Linked DNA regions of Macaca mulatta. The protein of the gene in region 1 purifies or fractionates together with the protein of each later gene. This does not show direct contact. Links are inferred from orthologs where the notes say so. Each region holds a gene or a part of one and is shown in the gene's direction. Other genes may lie near its edges.

What was found. The genes of interacting proteins can lie anywhere in the genome.
Region 2: the proteins of MAGED2 (region 1) and NAP1L4 purify together in Homo sapiens (affinity purification with mass spectrometry; 3 studies listed by BioGRID and IntAct, counting the BioPlex papers as one, with this or other methods). This does not show direct contact. The link is inferred for Macaca mulatta from reciprocal best matches to the Homo sapiens genes MAGED2 and NAP1L4.
Region 3: the proteins of MAGED2 (region 1) and guanine nucleotide-binding protein G(s) subunit alpha isoforms XLas purify together in Homo sapiens (affinity purification with mass spectrometry; 3 studies listed by BioGRID, counting the BioPlex papers as one, with this or other methods). This does not show direct contact. The link is inferred for Macaca mulatta from reciprocal best matches to the Homo sapiens genes MAGED2 and GNAS.
Region 4: the proteins of MAGED2 (region 1) and C1QBP purify together in Homo sapiens (affinity purification with mass spectrometry; 3 studies listed by BioGRID and IntAct, counting the BioPlex papers as one, with this or other methods). This does not show direct contact. The link is inferred for Macaca mulatta from reciprocal best matches to the Homo sapiens genes MAGED2 and C1QBP.

What each region holds. Positions count from the first base shown.
Region 1 is NC_133426.1:54,650,499-54,652,915, forward strand, and holds part of MAGED2 (melanoma-associated antigen D2), read left to right. Parts: intron 1-226; coding exon 227-306; intron 307-804; coding exon 805-899; intron 900-1,587; coding exon 1,588-1,667; coding exon of another isoform or gene 1,668-1,704; intron 1,705-1,760; coding exon 1,761-1,803; intron 1,804-2,122; coding exon 2,123-2,185; intron 2,186-2,417. UniProt on the Homo sapiens protein: Regulates the expression, localization to the plasma membrane and function of the sodium chloride cotransporters SLC12A1 and SLC12A3, two key components of salt reabsorption in the distal renal tubule.
Region 2 is NC_133419.1:2,859,965-2,863,464, reverse strand, and holds part of NAP1L4 (nucleosome assembly protein 1-like 4), read left to right. Parts: intron 1-1,322; coding exon 1,323-1,345; intron 1,346-2,706; coding exon 2,707-2,826; intron 2,827-3,500. UniProt on the Homo sapiens protein: Acts as a histone chaperone in nucleosome assembly.
Region 3 is NC_133415.1:111,699,117-111,702,335, forward strand, and holds the end of guanine nucleotide-binding protein G(s) subunit alpha isoforms XLas, read left to right. Parts: exon of another isoform or gene 1-699; coding exon 700-754; exon of another isoform or gene 755-887; coding exon 888-961; exon of another isoform or gene 962-1,058; coding exon 1,059-1,117; exon of another isoform or gene 1,118-1,221; coding exon 1,222-1,342; exon of another isoform or gene 1,343-1,488; coding exon 1,489-1,619; exon of another isoform or gene 1,620-1,726; intron 1,727-1,874; coding exon 1,875-1,942; intron 1,943-2,212; coding exon 2,213-2,359; 3' UTR 2,360-2,719; downstream 2,720-3,219. UniProt on the Homo sapiens protein: Guanine nucleotide-binding proteins (G proteins) function as transducers in numerous signaling pathways controlled by G protein-coupled receptors (GPCRs).
Region 4 is NC_133421.1:6,934,872-6,937,145, reverse strand, and holds the end of C1QBP (complement component 1 Q subcomponent-binding protein, mitochondrial), read left to right. Parts: intron 1-46; exon of another isoform or gene 47-190; intron 191-784; coding exon 785-880; intron 881-1,134; coding exon 1,135-1,257; intron 1,258-1,392; coding exon 1,393-1,542; 3' UTR 1,543-1,774; downstream 1,775-2,274.

The sequences.
Region 1 (2,417 bases):
TCTGCCCTCCATTGCCCTTGCATCATTGTGCTGGGGATATCTGCTGCTCTTATGCTTATATCTCTGTCCTCCCAAAGTTCTAATTTGGCGGTGCTAGCATCTCTGTTGATAAGCGCAGAACCTGGTTATGCCACCCTTGGTGTGGTTGGCAAAGAGTCTATAGCTTGGGCATCAGGGCCACCTGGCATCTCTTCAGTCAGGTGCTTACACCACTTTCCCCTTGCAGACATGCTGAAGGACATCATCAAAGAATACACTGATGTGTACCCTGAAATCATTGAACGAGCAGGCTATTCCTTGGAGAAGGTGAAGGGGCAGCCCTGGGGGATGGGCACAGTGGGGAAGCCTTGAATTGAACAAAAATGTGCAAGTTCCTTCTCAGGGGAACCAGAGAGACCTGCTAATCTAGCTCCATCACTATGCTGAGGGGCAGACAATGGCCTAGGGAGGGGTGTAGATGAGCGATGGGTCACACAGCAAGTCAATGGTAAAAGTACAGTTAGGACCCAAGACACCCAACTTAGTCCTGGCTTCTGTCCACAGCTCATGCCATGTATTTCAGATTTCACCTCTCCCTTTCATTCCCCATTCTCTGTCTCCCTAGATTCCCACTCATCGCAAAGACGATGATGACAATAGTACATTTGCTGCATGTTTACTGGGTGCCAGGCACTTAGCTATGTACTTTGTGTGCATTACCTCACTGATTTCTCACACATGCAAAACTCCTAGGTACATAGGGAGCTGCAGCATGCCCCAGAAGCTGAATTTTGTCATCTCACAAGCTGTTCTTCCCATCCACAGGTATTTGGGATTCAATTGAAGGAAATTGATAAGAATGACCACTTGTACATTCTTCTCAGCACCTTGGAGCCCACTGATGCGGGCATACTGGGAACGTAAGCTGGGAAAGGGCTGAGGTGTGGGGGGCTTCTGCATTGGCCATGTGCTGCTACCCCTTCTTTGTCCTACTTCCCCCATCCTCTTAGAGAGTCAGGAAAGGCAGGGACTCAAAAGCCCCGTCCCAGTTCCCATGCATAGATGGAGCCCTGCTCACAGTAGTGATGCCTGATTATGATTGACTGAAGGGTGTAGGAGCCTGAGGTGGGACATTCCTGCTGTCAGCTTTGCTGTTTCTGTAGAAGCTTCCCAGGAAAGCAGGCCTGTCATTGCTTGCCTCTTCCTACTGGGTGCCTGGCCTGGCCTTGGCAGAGTGGTTCTCAAGGAGGGCTTCCTGGTGTGGGTGGATCAGGATGCATGAAGCGCAGGAGTGTCAGTGGGGCTGAAGGTTCTGGGAGAGAAAGAAGGGATTCACATGGACTGAGTGCTTGTGTTGTACCAGGTTGACAGCCATTCTTCCGTCTTCTTGGAAACCCAGGGAAGGGAGAATATGATTTTTCTATTTTACTGAATAGTAAACTGAGGCTTGCAAGTCTAAGTGCCTTGCCCAGGGTGGCATAGAGCTGGCAGCAGAGACTGGGCAGAATTCTGTATCTGAGGCATCTGGGAGAGGCTAGCCTAGTGAGCTGGCTGGTGTGTCTGTGGTGGCTGCTGGACATAAACCTCTCTGTCCTGTTATTTCTCTAGGACTAAGGACTCACCCAAGCTGGGTCTGCTCATGGTGCTTCTTAGCATCATCTTCATGAATGGAAATCGGTCCAGTGAGGGTGAGTGGCTGGGCATGCAGCTGAATGGGTGGCCATGGTCTGGATTCCATGTGTTCAATTTCTGTCCCTGTCTCCTCTTGCCTCCCCTCGCAGCTGTCATCTGGGAGGTGCTGCGCAAGTTGGGGCTGCGCCCTGGGTATGATTGGGCTCTCTCAGCGCTTGCTGTCCGTGTTGTCCTTTGGCAAGAGAGGATGGTCCTAGGATTGCATCAGTCTGGTGGTCTGGTGGAGCGGGTGGGGTGCTGGACTGGGTAGAGGGCCCAGGGTTCTGACCTGGGTGGATGATGGGCCTGAACTCTCTGCTCCCTCTATCAGTGTCTCTTGGGCTTCTATGGAGCTTCCCTCTTGTGCTGGAAACCTCTTTTCTATCTTGGAAATGCCTCTGCCCACATCTGGGAAGTGTCACAACCTTGAGTGAATGTATTTGTTTATTTATTTTTCTTTTTCTTCTCTCAGGATACATCATTCACTCTTTGGGGACGTGAAGAAACTCATCACTGATGAGTTTGTGAAGCAGAAGTAAGTATCTGTCTGGTGTTCATGTGTTCCATGCATTTGGCCTATTTCAGAACTGAGTGATAAAGCCATGGTGCCTGCATGCATGTGTCTATGTGTGTATGTATTTGCATATTTGCGTGTATGCAGGTGGTGGATTATTCCTTGGGTGGTGATGGGAAACAGAAGCAGCACATGTTTCCTGATCTGTTACATGTACCTCAACATTTGTCTTGAGACCAGTTCTGCAAGGGAG
Region 2 (3,500 bases), on another chromosome or scaffold:
GGCGAGGTGGCGGGCGCCTGTAGTCCCAGCTACTCGGGAGGCTGAGGCAGGAGAATGGCGTAAACCCGGGAGGCGGAGCTTGCAGTGAGCTGAGATCCGGCCACTGTACTCTAGCCCGGGCTACAGAGCGAGACTCCGTCTCAAAAAAAAAAAAAAGAAAAAAAAAAAGAAAAAAATTGAGGATGGGCAGGGAGTAGGTAATGGGGTAGTGAAGGAACAGACAAAATGAACTCCTGTGGTATGAAGTGAAGGAGGCATTAGCTAGTGAGTCCAGCTCTGTCTTTGTCCTTAAAGCTACAAAGCCAGTCCAGAAGTATGAGTGCTGAGAATCCTTGTGCTGATTCATGACCCCGGCCAGAGTGCCCTGGGGAGCATGCTGCTCCAGCGTTTAGACACCCAGCCATGCCCCTAACCCATGTCTTAAACCCCCGGGTGATGCTGGCACACCGAGGCTTGGGAGCTTTGCCTTGCTCATGGGTGGTGTTTACACACCCAACGCTCATGTCTCAGCAGCAAACAGCAAGTGCTGCCAGGGTTGTGGTCACTTAATGGGAAGAGAGACTCAGAAGAGCCCAGTGAAGATTGAAAAGGCAGGTATGAGACTAAGTAGAGTAAACATTCAACTCCTGATGAAGGTCAGGGTCTTGTAGTAAATGTCTCTAAAATCAGGGGGTTGGATCGTGTACCATTTGAATGTTGCATGGCTTCATTGAGTGTGGTTAGAAGTCCCTGTCTGTCTTGGTGTGCTTAGCTCATCCAAGCATCAGCTTTCACTGAGGAGCTGCGCCACTCTACGGGGGCACTGGTGGGCATTTCAGCACTCTCCAGTTAGAAATGCAGTTTCTGCCTCGCCGAGATGCAGTGCCTTAGTAACACTTACAGCTTATAAGGCTTAAGGACTTTCTCTTTCTCTCCTGCACCATCATGTATAGTTCTGCAGGACATGAGTTAAATTTCTCCATAAAGCACAAATGCACTGAATGGCCACATGGCCATAGCCTAGGGGCTGTTTGCCTTTCCTCCTGTTAATATATTAACCCTCTCAAAATGATTTTCTCAAGCTTGAGTGCCAGCCCATGGCACGTGATGGAGGAGAGGGGAGGGGGGCATAGAGGCACTCAGGCCAGCTTCAGAAGTGGTGGATGGAGCTTGCGACGATGTCTGTCAGGAGATGCAAGGCTTTGGGGATTTCTAGTTTAAACCTCAAGGTGAAAAATGTTACATTTTGTCTACCAGCACAACTTACTCCTGTGTGGGCTTTAAAATTCTGGGACTTGTCACTGTAACTTAAATATGTTTTGTCTTTTTTTTTTTTTTCCTAGCATCCGGGGATGGAGAATCACTGGTAAGATTTGTTGTTACTAGTCTGATTTTGCTGTTGAAGTCTCTCCTGAGTGAATGTCTACTTGTCTGCTTGTTTAAAAAAGTCCAGTCCTGGCCGGGCGCGGTAGCTCAAGCCTGTAATCCCAGCACTTTGGGAGGCCGAGACGGGCGGATCACGAGGTCAGGAGATCGAGACCATCCTGGCTAACACAGTGAAACCCCGTCTCTACTAAAAAATACAAAAAACTAGCCGGGCGAGGTGGCGGGCGCCTGTAGTCCCAGCGGGCTGAGGCAGGAGAATGGCGTAGACCCGGGAGGCGGAGCTTGCGGTGAGCTGAGATCCGGCCACTGCACTCCAGCCTGGGCGACAGAGCGAGACTCCGTCTCCAAAAAAAAAAAAAAAAAATAAATAAATAAAAAGTCCAGTCCTGGCTGTGTATGGACTGCGTATGCCTGTAATCTTAATGCTTTGGGAGGCTGAGGTGGAAGGACTGCGTGAGTCCGGGAGTTTGAGACCAGCCTGGGCAACATAGCACAGCCCCATCTCTACAAAAAATTAAAATCAAATAAATTAACTGGCCGAACACAGTGACTCACACCTGTAATCCCTGCATTTTGGGAGGCCAAGGTGGGTGGATCACCAGAGGTCAGGAGTTCAAACCAGTCTGGCCAACATGGTGAAACCCCGTTTCTGCTTAAAATACACACACACACACACACACACACACACACACACACACAAAAATTAGCTGGACATGTTGGCAGTGCCTATAATCTCAGCTACTTGGGAGGCTGAAGCAGGAGAATCACTTGAACCCGAGAGGAGGAGGTTGCAGTGAGCTGAGATCGCACCACTGTATTCCATCGGGTGACAGAGGGAGATTCCGTCTCAAAAGATAAAATAATAAATTAGCTGGACGTGGTGGTGCACTGTGTAGTTCCAGGGTCACTGGGGCCCAGGAGCTTGAGGCTATAGTGAGCTGTGATTGCACCACTGCACTCCAACCTGGGTGATAGAAAAGTAAAAGTACGTGTTTCATATGTTGGTTTCAGTAGCAAACGTGTAGTGCTTTAATACTGCCCGTTCCCCATGTGTGAGACTCTGATACCCCCTACTCTGAGTGAGACCTTTGGACAGGTGATGGAGCTGTGAGGCCCTCAATTCCCACTTGCTCTGCCATTTTGCTTCAGTAGCTCTTTAAAGCTACTTGCAGTTGTTTTAAAAGGGCTTTGAGTATCTAGTGGCTGTCCCCTAGCAGTGCAGGAGTTTGGTGTTTTAAGTCAAGTAAATCGTAAGTGAGGGGCTGAGGTTTAGCTGAGGGTGGTGAAGCAAATGTTTTTATCCCATTAAAATGAGTTAACACGTGGGTTTTTCCTCCTCAGGATGAAGATTCTGAATTCACATTAGCCTCTGATTTTGAAATTGGACACTTTTTCCGTGAGCGGATAGTCCCGCGGGCTGTGCTGTACTTCACTGGGGAGGCCATAGAGGATGATGACAATGTATGAGGCTCGGGGAAGGGGGGCTCCCACCTGGGTGCTTATCTCTGTTGGTGCAGAGTGGCCCTGAATTGTGGCTTGGGAAACCCCCATGCCTAATCTTTTTATGACATCATCAGTCAGATACGTAGTCTAAGCTGCTGTCCTTGTTGTGGGGGGAATATACTTGAAGAGGAGAGGTCTGAGGAACAGAGCAGAAAAAGCAGGTGTCTGTGAGGCAGTTTCAGAGATGATTGCCAGTTTCCTATGTGAGCCCTGCCTAGTGATTCAACAGTATTCTCTAAAAACCTAAGCTTCAGGGTACTTCTGAACATGGGGAAAATCTCTTTCATGGAGGTCTGACCACAGCAAACATTTATTGACAGTGGACTCATGCTAGCCTGTATTTCATCAACCCAAAAGAAATAGAAATTCCTGAACTTCTGTCTAATTAGGTAAAAAGGAAAAAGACCCATGCTCCCAAGAAAACAACAAGATTGCATGTCACTTTCCTTTCTGGGCTTGAGGGAAGCCAGCTCTTCCACGGTCAGAACTTGCGGGCACACAGCCCGTGCACCGCTCAGAAACTCCCATCCTCACCAAGGTTCAGGCAGCTTCAAGTCTTCTTGATCTGTGGAAAATAAAGTTTTGTTTTATAGAATGTTACTGGAAGTGTGTTCTAGATGACATTCTCTTGC
Region 3 (3,219 bases), on another chromosome or scaffold:
CCTTTAATCAATGAGATTCTTAAAAAGTGAAAAGGAAGGGCTACAGATTCTCAGTAACTAAAACAATCTCATGTGCCCTTGAGGAGAAAGTCCTTGATGTTTTTAAGAATGTCACTTTATTTATTTATTTTTTTAACTGAATGATACAGAGGTATACAATTTTCAAACTGCCATTTTAGGCAGGAAATTTGAAAATTGAAATGTTTTTGTCAAGCATTACCAAATGGCACAGATTGTGATAGGTCAGCCTGGTTTTGGGGTCCTTTCTCTACTGGTTGATATGCATAAAACCTTTTAAAAATCAAGAATATTACCAGAGAGCAACAGGAATAAACAAGCTAAGTAAAGAAGAAAAAAGAAAAATAGAAAAAAATAAACATGAAGAACAAAGCCCCACCACTGTCCTGTGCTGTTTGTGTGGCCCCACTGCACCGAGGCCGCAGGCTAGCTGCTAGACGCATCTAGAGTTCCCTGATTCCTAAAATTATTTATCTTAAATCCCATTTGGCCTAACTTTCTTAAGGCATCAGCTTTGAGTTATAAATGTAACCAACACACAAGCAAATATGCCATTGACTTAGTGCTGCATAACTGTGGGACGGTCACTTCCGTTGAGCCTGACCTTGTAGAGAGACACAAATAGTTGGCAAATTAATGTGAACGCTGTGAACACCCCATGTGCCTTTCTTTTTCTCCCAGCTTCCTGGACAAGATCGATGTGATCAAGCAGGCTGACTATGTGCCGAGCGACCAGGTGTGCAAAACCCTTCACCACCAGAGGACCCTGAGCCCTCTTCCCAAACTACCCCAGACTTTTGCTTTAGATTGGAAATTATTACTATTTCGATTGGCTTTGCTGAGATCCATTGACCTCAATTTTGTTCTAGGACCTGCTTCGCTGCCGCGTCCTGACTTCTGGAATCTTCGAGACCAAGTTCCAGGTGGACAAAGTCAACTTCCAGTAAGCCCACTGTTACCTTTTTATATAACAGAGATCATGGTTTCTTGACATTTACCCCAGCCCCTCTGGAATAACCAGCTGTCTTCCTCTCCACCAGCATGTTTGACGTGGGTGGCCAGCGCGATGAACGCCGCAAGTGGATCCAGTGCTTCAATGGTAGGACGCTGTGGGCTTGGCTGTTCGTGAAGAACGCTTTGCTTCTGTGTTGTTAGGGATCAGTGTCGCTGCTCACGCTCTTGGCTTTGCTTTCTTTGGTTAAGATGTGACTGCCATCATCTTCGTGGTGGCCAGCAGCAGCTACAACATGGTCATCCGGGAGGACAACCAGACCAACCGCCTGCAGGAGGCTCTGAACCTCTTCAAGAGCATCTGGAACAACAGGTTTGTGGAGTGACCGCCCACCCCCTGCGCTTGCCCAGGAGGCCCTGGTCTGCACTGTTTGTAGAAAAGAACCCTGTGCAAGCATTCCAGACCCCTGGCCAAAAGCGCGCTTCTCCCGGGCATTCACACGGCCTCCCTTCTTGTAGATGGCTGCGCACCATCTCTGTGATTCTGTTCCTCAACAAGCAAGATCTGCTCGCTGAGAAAGTCCTTGCTGGGAAATCGAAGATTGAGGACTACTTTCCAGAATTTGCTCGCTACACTACTCCTGAGGATGGTGTGTATGGCTTCCACTCTTTTGCTGGCTGTTCATTGCAGTGGTTCTTTTTCAAACAGTAGGGCTGAAAGCCGCCATCCCCCTCCCACCACCAAACCATAAAGCATCTGTAAGAGAAGCAAGAAAAACACACTTGCATTAATTCTCATATGGAAAAATCAGGGTTTTGAAGACTTCAGGAGCTACAATGATGCTAGCACCCCAGCTCTGCTTGACTTTTTAATTACATTAATATATATTCCCTTTTTTTTATAGCTACTCCCGAGCCCGGAGAGGACCCACGCGTGACCCGGGCCAAGTACTTCATTCGAGATGAGTTTCTGGTGAGTTGAGCCTGTCTTTAGTTTCCTCTCTTGCTCCTCCTCTTTTTCTCATGGATGTAAATTTACTTCAGGGGTTCAGCTACCCAGGTCCATGGTTTTAGTTCACGCACATCCAGTGTGGATTTGAGTTCTTTGCACCCCTCCTTTTGCTTTCGTTTTCATATGACATCAGAGACTGGCCAACAGCCGTCCCTGGTAGGTGTCCCCATCAGTGATAGGGTGGTTCCTGGCGAGGGTGTCACTGACGAGTCCCTGCGTTTGTACCCGCAGAGGATCAGCACTGCCAGTGGAGATGGGCGTCACTACTGCTACCCTCACTTCACCTGCGCTGTGGACACTGAGAACATCCGCCGTGTGTTCAACGACTGCCGTGACATCATTCAGCGCATGCACCTTCGTCAGTACGAGCTGCTCTAAGAAGGGAACCCCCAAATTTAATTAAAGCCTTAAGCACAATTAATTAAAAGTGAAACGTAATTGTACAAGCAGTTAATCACCCACCATAGGGCATGATTAACAAAGCAACCTTTCCCTTCCCCCAAGTGATTTTGCGAAACCCCCTTTTCCCTTCAGCTTGCTTAGATGTTCCAAATTTAGAAAGCTTAAGGCGGCCTACAGAAAAAGGAGAAAAGGCCACAGAAGTTCCCTCTGACTTTCAATAAAAATAAATAAAACAACAGCAGCAAACAAACAAAATGAAATAAAAGAAACAAATGAAATAAATATTGTGTTGTGCAGCATTAAAAAAAATCAAAATAAAAATTAAATGTGAGCAAAGAATGATGGGACTCCCGTGAGTTATTTGTGGTTCTGCGCAGATTCCTGTCATTCATGGTTTGACTTGGCCCTTACATCAAAAGTTGGGAGGCCCCAAGGTGAAGTGGGTATAAAATCTCACCACTGTATGTTTTCTGGTGACTGTAAAATGTAGGTGTCTTGAAATAATTTTCAGACAATAGGAAAAGTCCACTCCTGTTGATCTCCCAAACTTTTACCCCATAGTGGACCACTATGCCCCAGTCACCTCTACATTTTGATCACTGCCATCCTATCCAAAGATTCTGCCAACTTATGCCATTACATCATCACACAGTTTGCCTGCTGACCCAGGCTTCCTAAGAAAAGTAGTGTATTTTTTGCTATAAGATAGGGACTAAATGATGTGGAGAAATACAGGAGCGCCGCGTTTCAAATCAATGGGGTTATTCAAGAAATGGTGTAGCCATTTGGGGAAAATTTAGACTGGATCCCTACCTCATTGCACACACCAAAATGAA
Region 4 (2,274 bases), on another chromosome or scaffold:
CTTGAACCCGGGAGGCGGAGGTTGCGATGAGCCGAGATCACACCACTGCACTCCAGCCTGGCAACAGAGCAACACTCTGCCTCGAAGAAAAAAAAAAAAAAGAATGCCAGGGGCATAAGAGACTTTAACTGGATCATGCCTACTCTTCAGACATTTTAGGAAGTGCTGTGCCCAGCCTGGTAACCAGCCAGTACGAGGGCCACAGAGTCCCTAGACCTTCTGCCCAAAAGCCATCAGTACAGTGTTGGGTCATGACCTGGTGTGGATGGCACAGCTCTCTGGTGTGCTTCTTTCCCAGCAACCCCAACTAGCATCTCTCTGACATTGGACCCAGTCTGCTCCCAGAGCTCCACATCAGAGGAAAAGCTGCTGCTGTTATTCAGCCATAAAGATGGCCAGGTTCCCCAGCCTTTGACCCTGGTCCCTTTTGAAGACTCCTGGAACAGTCAAGCTGGAATCTTGAAACTTTAGGAAAGCTTTGCAGTGTATGGGTGGAGGAAAAGGCTTGGAATGTTAAGGAACTGATATAAACTCAGTTAATTGGCACATAGCTGAGGCGGCTGGTATCCAGATTTCTTAATTGAAAATCCAGTGTGTTACTTAAACAAGCAGGGTGCCAACAGAAGTGAGATCAAGCTCTTCATTTGGGAATAGTATGGCATAAGACTATTAAAATGGCTACATAACATCCTAATGGTGGCTCTGAGAAATCTGAACAGAGATCCTTGATCCAGGCATCCATCTCCTTCCAGCAGTGGCATGTACTGACTTCTTGTTTTCCCAGCCTGAACTGACATCAACTCCCAATTTCGTGGTTGAAGTTATAAAGAATGATGGCAAGAAGGCCCTTGTGCTGGACTGTCATTATCCAGAGGATGAGGTATGTAGGATGGAGTGCTAGCCCCTTGGCACCCCTGGGGAGCACAGCGTGTCCCTTGGGAACTTCCTGTCCCTTTTAGCATAAATTTAAAGACTTTCTAGCTTAGACCAGCCCAGCAGGGGGAGAGGGGAGGGGAGTGAGGGAAGAGGGTTAAAACCTGATCAGTTTCATGCTGTCAGCAGCCCCCTTTCTTCGCATGAGTCTGGCTTATCCTGGAGAACCCTTCAGTTTCCCCAAATATTGTTTCTTCTCAGGTTGGACAAGAAGACGAGGCTGAGAGTGACATCTTCTCTATCAGGGAAGTTAGCTTTCAGTCCAGTGGCGAGTCTGAATGGAAGGATACTAATTACACACTCAACACAGATTCCTTGGACTGGGTGAGTGCTTGATAAGATGGGGGAACCTTTTGGGCCGTGGAAGGAAGGGTCCTAGTTCAAGGGGAGAAAGAAACATTTTAATGTTCATTACAGATTTTTTTTTGTTTTTAAACTAGTAAATGTTGTTCTTTGCAGGCCTTATATGACCACCTAATGGATTTCCTTGCGGACCGAGGGGTGGACAACACTTTTGCAGATGAGTTGGTGGAGCTCAGCACAGCCCTGGAGCACCAGGAGTACATTAGTTTTCTTGAAGACCTCAAGAGATTTGTCAAGAGCCAGTAGAGCAGACAGACGCTGAAAGCCTTAGTTTCATGGCAGGCTCTGGCCAGTGAACAAGTCCTACTCTGAAGCTAGACATGTGCTTTGAAATGATTATCGTCCTAATATCATGGGGAAAAACACCAAATTTAAATTATATGTTTTGCGCTCTCATTATCATTTTTCCTGTACAAATCTATTATTTCTAGATTTTTGTATAACATGATAGACATAAAATTGGTTTATCTCCTCCAAAGCAGTGTATCTATTCTATTCCTCCCGCTTCAACCTGCGTCACAAAAGACCAAGAACAGAGATGTCGGAAAAGTTTTTTTTCCTTCAGGATCGGTTAAAAGTTTCGATACAAAATAAGTTATAAATAAAAGGCTTGTATGTACAAGGCTCCTCAGGGAGTGAGTGGTCTTCAACCCGTAGAATGATGTGAGTCCACGCTGGCTCTAGAGGATCACAGCCCAGGTATCACAGGCCTAGGTTTAAACAGGAGAAGAATTAGCTTAAATTGTATTCTAGTCATGAAAGACATGTGATACATCGTTAAAAGTTGTAATCAATGAGAATGCTACACATTAGATGAGGTCTCCTGAGTCTAGTTTGAATTAGTTAGGTCGTGTAATTTGTCATGAAGGCCACCGACGACTGCCCCTCTTTGGCTTTGCTGGACCTCTGTCCTGCAGCCTTCAAACAGCTGTCTGGAAACCGTCAGCACCAACAGTCTTCAAGCTAAGATCAAATCTG